Saccharomyces cerevisiae S288C: one gene and its partner. The main gene of each other region encodes a partner of the protein of the gene in region 2 in a complex. Each region holds a gene or a part of one and is shown on either strand. Other genes may lie near its edges.

Region 1 (3,299 bases), 190 kb from region 2:
AGGTTTCTCATCCGGGTGATATTATCACATAACCAAGTGCCAAAAAGAAGAAAACAGGAAGCTGCTGCTACCAAGAAACAAGTGACTTTAAATTAGGAGCGGTAGACGCTGAAACGCCTGTTTAACACGGCCGCAAATTGTACCCTATTGGCCAGGTAGTATTGTCTTGTGTTCAGTTTAAGGGGGCGTTTCTCTAATATTGGGACCCGGTTAAGGTGCAAGGGCCCATCAATGCATTCAAAAATCTCCTGAATGTTCAATTTTAAAGTTGTCGTATGATATGTGAATAATCTGTAGTGAAGCAAACTTAATCGACCGAACTGCCCTTTGGTAATTGCCCGACGCCTTTGCTTGTCAGGTTTCATGATAATTATTATTACAGTGACTCTATATATAATGAAATACCGTGGGGTCGAGGAAGAGGACAGGCAATAAGCCCCTGCGGGCAGAAGTCGTACCCCTCCCTTGCTTATCCGAAGGAAATCATGTTCTTGATTGCGCTAATCCAATATTGGTGTTCTTGCATCCCATGTACTTAGTAGATCGTTATCCCGTTTATGATAATTGATTTTCCAGTAGATGAACCACTTAGGTAAAACAGTAATATAAAATACTGAAGCAAAGAAAATCAACAGCATATAAATCCAACCTAGAGCAACATTCAAAAATGAGTATACAATAATATTTGAAATTATTGGTACTACCTTATTCGTCACCGATAAATAAGTGGGTAGAATGATATTCAACTGAATACAAATTAAAAGAAAACAGAATACGTCGATTGTGGTCGAAAGCCTCGATGATAGGACAGCAACAAGGGCGACAAGTATATTGGTGGAAAGGTTAGAGGGTTTATCTTTGGACTTTGTTGACGAAATAACGAAAATGTACCATAGGGTCAGCCAAAAAGACAATGTCCATATGGAATCAGATGCAGTTGTTTTAGAAAGAGATTTGAGGACTGGAGAGAGAGTCAACATTGCAAATGTGATAATCAGCGAAGACTTTACGTCCATGAATGAGGACAATAGAGGGTCGACTTTCGTCCTTGATATAATCAATGTTATAAATGAAAGGAAAATAGTTGGCGGAATAGGATCGAAGCCATAATAGTAAATATATGTAAAAGTGATGTAAATGAAAGAAGTGTTCAATATGGTTTGGTAGAAACTTATAAAATCCAACCTAATTTGAGCGCGAGCAGCTTCTGATAATTTTCTATCAGACTTCTGGTTACTCTCAGCCTTTTGTCTTGCTCTCAACTCAATAAAACTTGGATCTGTATAATTATCTGGGTACTCCTGTTTCAACCATAGTAGGCGCTTCCAGGGAGATCTTGTCATTGTACCTATTGAAAATAACCAAATATAAACTATGAAGTCTCTTTAAGGTCATACGAAAATTGAGAGGATAATGGACCTGCAACAGAAAGTTTGGATGCCTCTGATTATATTCACCACCGTCTAACAACAATACTTAAAGTGTGATTGTACCTTTAAATTGGTTTAAAGCGAAGAGGTAATGGAAAGTTGAAATTTTCATTTTTAGTTCATAAATTTAGTAGCCGCGAAGTGGTCTCAAGTTCGGATATCAAGATAATCAATAGCCACGGACACCTACTACCTGGCCTTCGCTGACATGTAATTGACATTGTTTTTGAAAAACCTAACCAAAAATTTACAATTCACTATCTTCATGAAAGATCTCCAGAAAAAAAGCTCAGTACGAAGGCAAATCACGAATGAAGACGATGAACGGTATGGGGAGGACAGCATCCATGACCTTCCCAGGACAATACCAAATGTAAATCCCTATATTAGAAATTCAGGATTTAGGCCATCTTATTCTTCCCAAATTCCTTCGACAAGGAGTCTATTCAATAACTATTATAACCGTTCAAGTGCTAACACAGTTGGTAATGACACAATAGATACCGATAGTGTTAGCTATAACGGAGTTGCCAAATTCCGGAGAAATAGCGTAGATATACCGCTACAGACACATAACAGACTGGAAGTACGGCCTATAATCGACAGACAAGACTATTTGTGGAGAGAAATAGATGCCCTAGATGACGTTAAAAGACAGGCGCAGGCAACAGAATTGTATGATCAGTTTCCTCCAGGGTTCGAGAACAAACTGATGCAATTAAGGCAAGCACATAGTAAACTACTTCAAGTCTTGAGGGACCGCAATGCTAAAATAGAAGAGGAACAACGTCGTGAAGTGGCGGTCGCAACCGCTGCTGCCATGATGACTAGAACGCCATCACCAACAGGAAAATCCGTCGGAGATGAAGCTACAAGCAACAACATGCATAGTAGCAGCGCAATTAGAAATCCAAATGGACCAACCGTTGATCCTGAAGAAGGAAAGTACATTCAAGAGCTGGTGAACACTATAAGGGAATTACAATAGTAGGGCCAAAACACAACTGATAGTAACAATCACCAAGAGATTCTACATTAAAAGTGTAAGAATTCCCACATAGGAGTGCTCTAATTATGTCATATATGCTTAATTTTCAAAATAAAATAGCCATAAACTGTGTTGTGACGCAACTGCAACTCCCAGATGAAATACGGTCCGGTAAAGATAGGAATATTCTACTCTACAAGCATGAATATTTTTTAACGCGGCGCAGTACTATACAGCATAACAGGTCTTCCACGCATGAGAAACTGTCCATGGCTAAATTAGTTCCTCACACAGAATTAGAAATGTGCTGTGACAATGGCACATACGTAGATAAAAGATAAATATAATTCAGAATGGCTGTGGCGACAACTATTATCATAGAGGTGTCCCATCGAGCGAGCCTCATTGGCCGGGTAATCGACATCAATATTGAACCAATCACGACGCTTTTTCTCTTCACCGCTCATTCGGACCTTCACCACAGGTTTGGGTAATTAAAATAGCAAGGGATTATAATTGCAGTTAGCAGTTTATGTTGACAAGTTTATACTGTGCTAGGAAGGGTTATATTTTATTAAAAGACTGACGAGAATTCAGTACCTCCTAAGTGCGCAAGAGATAAAATGAGCATGAGTATGGGTGTCCGTGGCCTAGCGTTAAGGTCCGTTTCTAAAACATTATTTAGCCAAGGTGTTCGTTGTCCTTCGATGGTGATTGGAGCCCGTTATATGTCTTCCACTCCAGAAAAACAGACAGATCCAAAAGCAAAGGCTAACTCTATCATCAATGCCATTCCAGGTAATAATATTTTGACAAAGACGGGGGTTTTGGGGACTTCTGCTGCCGCTGTCATTTATGCCATTTCCAATGAATTGTACGTT
Region 2 (5,377 bases):
AGAATATGGAGCTCAAACTATATCAAATAAAGGATAATAATACGTTGAACAAAATTTATTTAGACAGAGAGAAAGTAGATAGAGTAAATTTAGTTTCGGAAATCATGGAATTGAGAGAAACCATAAGACGACAAATAAAAGAGCAGAAACGAGTGAGCATCGATTTCAGCTGGTTAGACGAGCTTCCAGCTGTGGAAAATAAGCAACCATTCAAAGAACATATCAACCACAGTTTGGACACCTTGGGGATAGAAATGTTCAACTTCGTGAGTACCTCACGGATTTTAGATTTAAAGCTTGATCAACCTTTGGCAGAAGATGAACTCTGGCATGAAAGAGATCATTCTTACATTTCGTATTTAAAGCGCAAGAGGAAAAATATACGACTCAAATCTCAAAATGTTGTTACATATTACAAATGACTGAGTGATTCTAGCAGGTCTATAACATTCAAATACAGTAAATAAATGGATACAACATTCCTTTGTTTTGTGTAAAGTTTAAGTTTCTCTTGCTTCCTTCGTCTCGTTAGACACTGTTTTCTTGGGCCATTTTGGAGCTAGATCGATTTCATCCCTGGGGTATAGCCACTCTAAGAGGAAAAAAAGCATGTACTCTACAATTCCACATAACAGATAAAGATGTTTAGCCCAGATTCCATCTCTTTTGTAAAGATTTGCTACCATTTTCATCCAATCTTTATCATCAGCGGAAGAAGTAGAAGATATATTAGTATATATCTCTACTGTCCTTTTGGCTACGTCCATCCAGTCGTACATTTTAGACACGCTATCATGAAAAGAGGAAGTGTCCAAAGCTTTACTTCTTATGATATTGATAGCTTTATTTGTTGCTTGAACAAGGTCAGAAACGGATGTCTGTTCTGCATAAACAGTCATCTCATTTGGTAACACTTCGGGAATTCCTCCGACTTGTGTCGTTACAATTAGCAAATTACAAGATGCGGCCTCAACTAGAATTGTACCAAATGCTTCTGTTAAACTAGCGTGTAAATATATGTCACCTTGACATAATACATCCCTGACTTTCTCATGTGGAACAGAGCCTAAGAGTTGCACACGTTTTTGTAGTCTATGACTTTCAATCATTTGTTGAAAATCTATGAACTTTGGACCATCGCCCGCTACTATAAATTCGACATCTTCATGTGAGGAACAAACTTTCGGAATTATGCGAGTAAGTAAATCGGACCCTTTGTTTGGAAAGAGCCTTCCGATGACCACGATCACTATCTTATCCCTACTTTGTTTTCTCTTGGTGCCACCAGTAGGATCCCTTGGTTTGAAATCTTCGCTCACCACTGCGTTGGGAATTACTGAGATTATATCAGGACTTAATTCTGTTCTAACAATCATATTTTCTTTGCATGTATTAGAAACACATATAACCCGATCTATGTTTGTCAAGGTAAATGTTAGCAACTTATTCACCCAAATCGACGTTAAGTTATTAAAACCGTAGAGTGAATGGTCCGTGAACACAGTTCTCAATCCCATAGTATTAGCATGAAGAATTCCCTCGTGAGCGAACGTGGAAGCGCTACCATGAGAATGAACAATTTGGATCTGCTCTCTGAGAAGAATATTCCTTATTATTGGAAATGTTGAAAAAACAGTGGGGAAAGTGGTTTCTCTGAAAATCACAAAAAATGGTACGTGATAGACCTTTAGACCGTTGGTAAGATGTCGTACGCCGACTCGATCTTTGTAAGCGTGAGTTATAATGACGACAGAATGGCCCAAATCGATTAGTTTCTGCGATAAATGATATATATGGAATTCGACTCCACCTAACTGTGGATAAAAAAAGTCGCACAGCATCCTATTTTCATTGTTATAACTCTCAACTTTACTGGTTAGTATCAACAACAAAAGAGATCTTCTTTAATGTATTTGGAACACATGCTGTGAGCTAGACATACGCTATATTGAAGCCCATTGTTTTATATAATAATGTTAGAGTTAGCTAAGCTGTAGTTTATAGTATCTCGTATTTTTGCATAAGTTTTTTGAGGCTATTACTGGCATCGATTATTTTTAAATCGTATCAATGAAATTTTCTAGCTCGACAGTCTCGGGTTGCAAACGAAAAACTTAAAATAGCAGAATGAGATTATTCAATGAAAAGACCCTGAGATTTTTTTCAAGCTGTTATTTTTGGTATACATTGTATTAGACAAGTTCGCATATGAGTATACAAAGGATATGGTGAATACTAGGGGCTACACTACTCTTCCGAATGTTGAAGAACCAGCAAATAACTCACAAGATGAGCTAAACTCGCAGGACTTTGAGCAAGCTATAGGAATGCCATCAGAACCCCCGGTATATGTGGAAGAGATGGGGATGGAAGAACCGCAGGCTCCGGAAGCCTTTAGTGAGAAAGTCCAGCGATTTCGTATGTGTTTTGAAAATAACGTGGTGATTCCAGTAAAGAAAAATGTAGTGGATCCGCTAGCACAAATGATTTCCCTGGCCTCTGAGAAATTCGATTTGTTCTTAAGTAAAATAGGTAATGTTATGGTAATGAGGAGAATATTTTACATCATGATGATGTCTATCATTGCAGCGTTGATTATTGCGAGTGATAGGTTACCGAATGGAAAAGCTCGAGGTTCAAATGGATCATTCTCGGACCATGATCTCCTTTTACAGTATGCTCGGAAATCGATAGACCTTTCAAAGATAGAAAGAGATTTAGAGTATATTAGTAGTATGCCCCACATGTCAGGAACAAGTGGTGATGCCGCTATTAGACATTATATTAAAGAGTCGTTCGACAAAAATGGTATAAGGCTAGCTGGGGAAGAGGAGTTCATGGCGTATTCGAATTACCCAGGAAATGTCTCACTTCGTGTATATTCAAAGGATGATACAGAAGGGTTTGATATTCCCTTAAATGAGGAGAACTTTAACCCAATGAGCCATAATGGTCAATTGAACAACATACCGGTGATTTATGCTAATAAAGCATCGTTGGACGATATGGCTTCTATGCAAGATCAAGGGCTTTTAAACGGTGACTTTATTTTACTAGTGCATTACGGAGATTATGTTTTCCAACAAATGTTGACTGCTCAAGAATATGGTGCGAAAGCAATTATCTTTATTTCTGAGCCTTATCAAGACAACAAAGACGTGATACAAATGAAGTCAGTTGCGTTGCCGCAGTATGGTACTGGTGATGCACTTACGCCTGAATGGGAAGGATCAATAAGAGATCCTATCGATGCTACGGAAGCCAAGTGCCTACCCAAAATTCCATCCATACCGATATCTGCCAATCAAGGAGATAAAATACTAGCTATATTATCAGACACTGGCGTAAAGTTTTCTAATAATTTATTCAGTGGGTCGCTTAACGATTGTCGACTTGACCTACTAGTGCAAACAGCAATTAGGGAACGCCACCCGGTTCACGATATAGTTGGTAAAATTGAAGGATCGGAACAAGCGGGCAGGGCAATTGTTATTGCTGCACCGAGGAACTCTGCTAGTTATGGCACTATGTATCCTTCTTTTGGAACCGTCGTTTTGCTGTCTCTGATCCAATTATATCAAGAAATGGTTTACAAATTTGACTGGAAGCCTCTAAGAAATATATATTTCATTTCCTTTGGGGGCTCTGAATTTAATGAAGCGGGAGCCACGGAGCTGATGGAAAAGAGAACAGAGGCATTGAAGAGTGAAATATACACCATTATCGACGTCGGCCAAATCGGTATATGGGATGATAGTAACAATTTAGAGATACAATGTCATCCGCTACTAGTAGATCTTTTTCAAAAAAACATGACAAGCCGTAAATTTAACGTTAAAGTGGATAATGTTCACCAGTTCGGCGACTGGACGCCGTATCTAGCGCAAGGGATTCCAGTTGCGATCATTTCATCTCCAGGAGTCATGAATAGAGAACATCCGATCTACACAGTAGAAGACAAATTCGATTTCATCAAAGATAAACTAAGAGACAAAAAGAAGGGAGAGGTACTTTCTGAGATAATGCTATATCTTGTCGAAAAATCACTCGAGCTCATTGACGATCCATTCATCCCATTCAGCATATCGAACTACGTAGATTTCCTTTCAACTACGTTAAAAGACCTCCAAAAAGAATGTCCTGATACGGTAAACTTTGACGAAGTCTTTTTGGGCACAACATTGTGGGAAAACACTAAACTGCAGTTCGAAAAATGGAAAAGCGAATGGACAGAGCTTATGTATGGAGCCGGTACATATATAGAACCCACTATCATTGCCATTAATCGTTGGTCATGGAACTACCTACTTTCCCTAATAGGCGTTACCCAATGTTTGGAGGAAGGGTTAATGGATAGAACCTTTTACAAGAACGTTATCTTCGGGCCAAAACTCTGGGTCGACAAAGGTGACCCACTTCGTTCATGGACGTTCCCTGAAATCAGGGACACTATTGCAATCAAGGACTGGAGCTCTGTGCAGGTTCAAGCTAACACACTCGGCACAATTTTACAAAATACAGCACGCTATTTTCTTGAGAATAAAAACCTTCATGGAATAAACACGAACGAATTTTAGTTATCGGTTGAAAGAAAATTACACATCGATTTATGCAGGCAATCAACTATAGTATACACAACATATACTCCTATGACTTGTAGATTTCTTGCCTAGGAAGACTAAATACGTTTAATTCTAAGATTAGGAGCCCATGCATTTAAAGTTGCTTTTTGCCTGTGCGGGACAATTTTATTAGTCAGTATGGACATCTCCGCGGGGAATTTTTTTATCGGCAGAGCTGTTTAGACAAAGGATATAGATAGTATAAGGTGTTAGTACACACATTTCAACATAGTTATATTAGGAAGATTGCCACAAATTTCCTCTTTTTTTTTTTTTTCTTGTTTTTATTACACCTCCGCCCCTTGAATACCTTAGAGGTTAAGAAGTGAAATGCCAAGAGAAAGCCTAATAGGACACACAGTATTTACCACGGGAAAAGCGCGGGATATTTGAATCAGCTGGAGATTATTATGTACGCCATGTATATTTTTAGAGACGGCTTGTAACGGGTGCCAAGATATTCCATATTTTTATGTCTCAAAAAGGAAGAAAAGAGCTACGAGCACGTGCAAATATATGAACTTCAACACCTGTAGAAACTCGATAGTGAATAAATCAATCACAGTGCTTTCCTTGAAATAAGCTTCTGTCTGAACTTTAACAGTGATTTTTTTTTTATAGAACAGGCCTTTTCATCTGCAGAGATATGTCTAGTCTCGTAGGTTTTGACTCGTAACTTTGACTTCTGCATCTGGATCGTCAAAGCAACCCATACTTGACTTGATTACATTAGCATCAAAGAAAATCGTGCCAAC

What was found. The genes of interacting proteins can lie anywhere in the genome.
Region 1: SPT14 (region 2) and GPI2 share a complex: the UniProt entries of both Saccharomyces cerevisiae proteins name them as parts of the phosphatidylinositol N-acetylglucosaminyltransferase (GPI-GlcNAc transferase) complex.

Annotation. Positions count from the first base shown.
Region 1 is NC_001148.4:408,487-411,785, reverse strand, and holds GPI2 (phosphatidylinositol N-acetylglucosaminyltransferase), read right to left. Parts: upstream 1,344-3,299; coding exon 501-1,343; downstream 1-500. Other genes in the region: YPL077C (uncharacterized protein), read left to right, coding at 1,696-2,418; ATP4 (F1F0 ATP synthase subunit 4), read left to right, coding at 3,042-3,299. UniProt on the Saccharomyces cerevisiae protein: Part of the complex catalyzing the transfer of N-acetylglucosamine from UDP-N-acetylglucosamine to phosphatidylinositol, the first step of GPI biosynthesis.
Region 2 is NC_001148.4:215,212-220,588, reverse strand, and holds SPT14 (phosphatidylinositol N-acetylglucosaminyltransferase SPT14), read right to left. Parts: upstream 1,960-5,377; coding exon 1,943-1,959; intron 1,843-1,942; coding exon 501-1,842; downstream 1-500. Other genes in the region: NIP100 (Nip100p), read left to right, coding at 1-422; TRE1 (Tre1p), read left to right, coding at 2,226-4,577. UniProt on the Saccharomyces cerevisiae protein: Catalytic subunit in the complex catalyzing the transfer of N-acetylglucosamine from UDP-N-acetylglucosamine to phosphatidylinositol, the first step of GPI biosynthesis.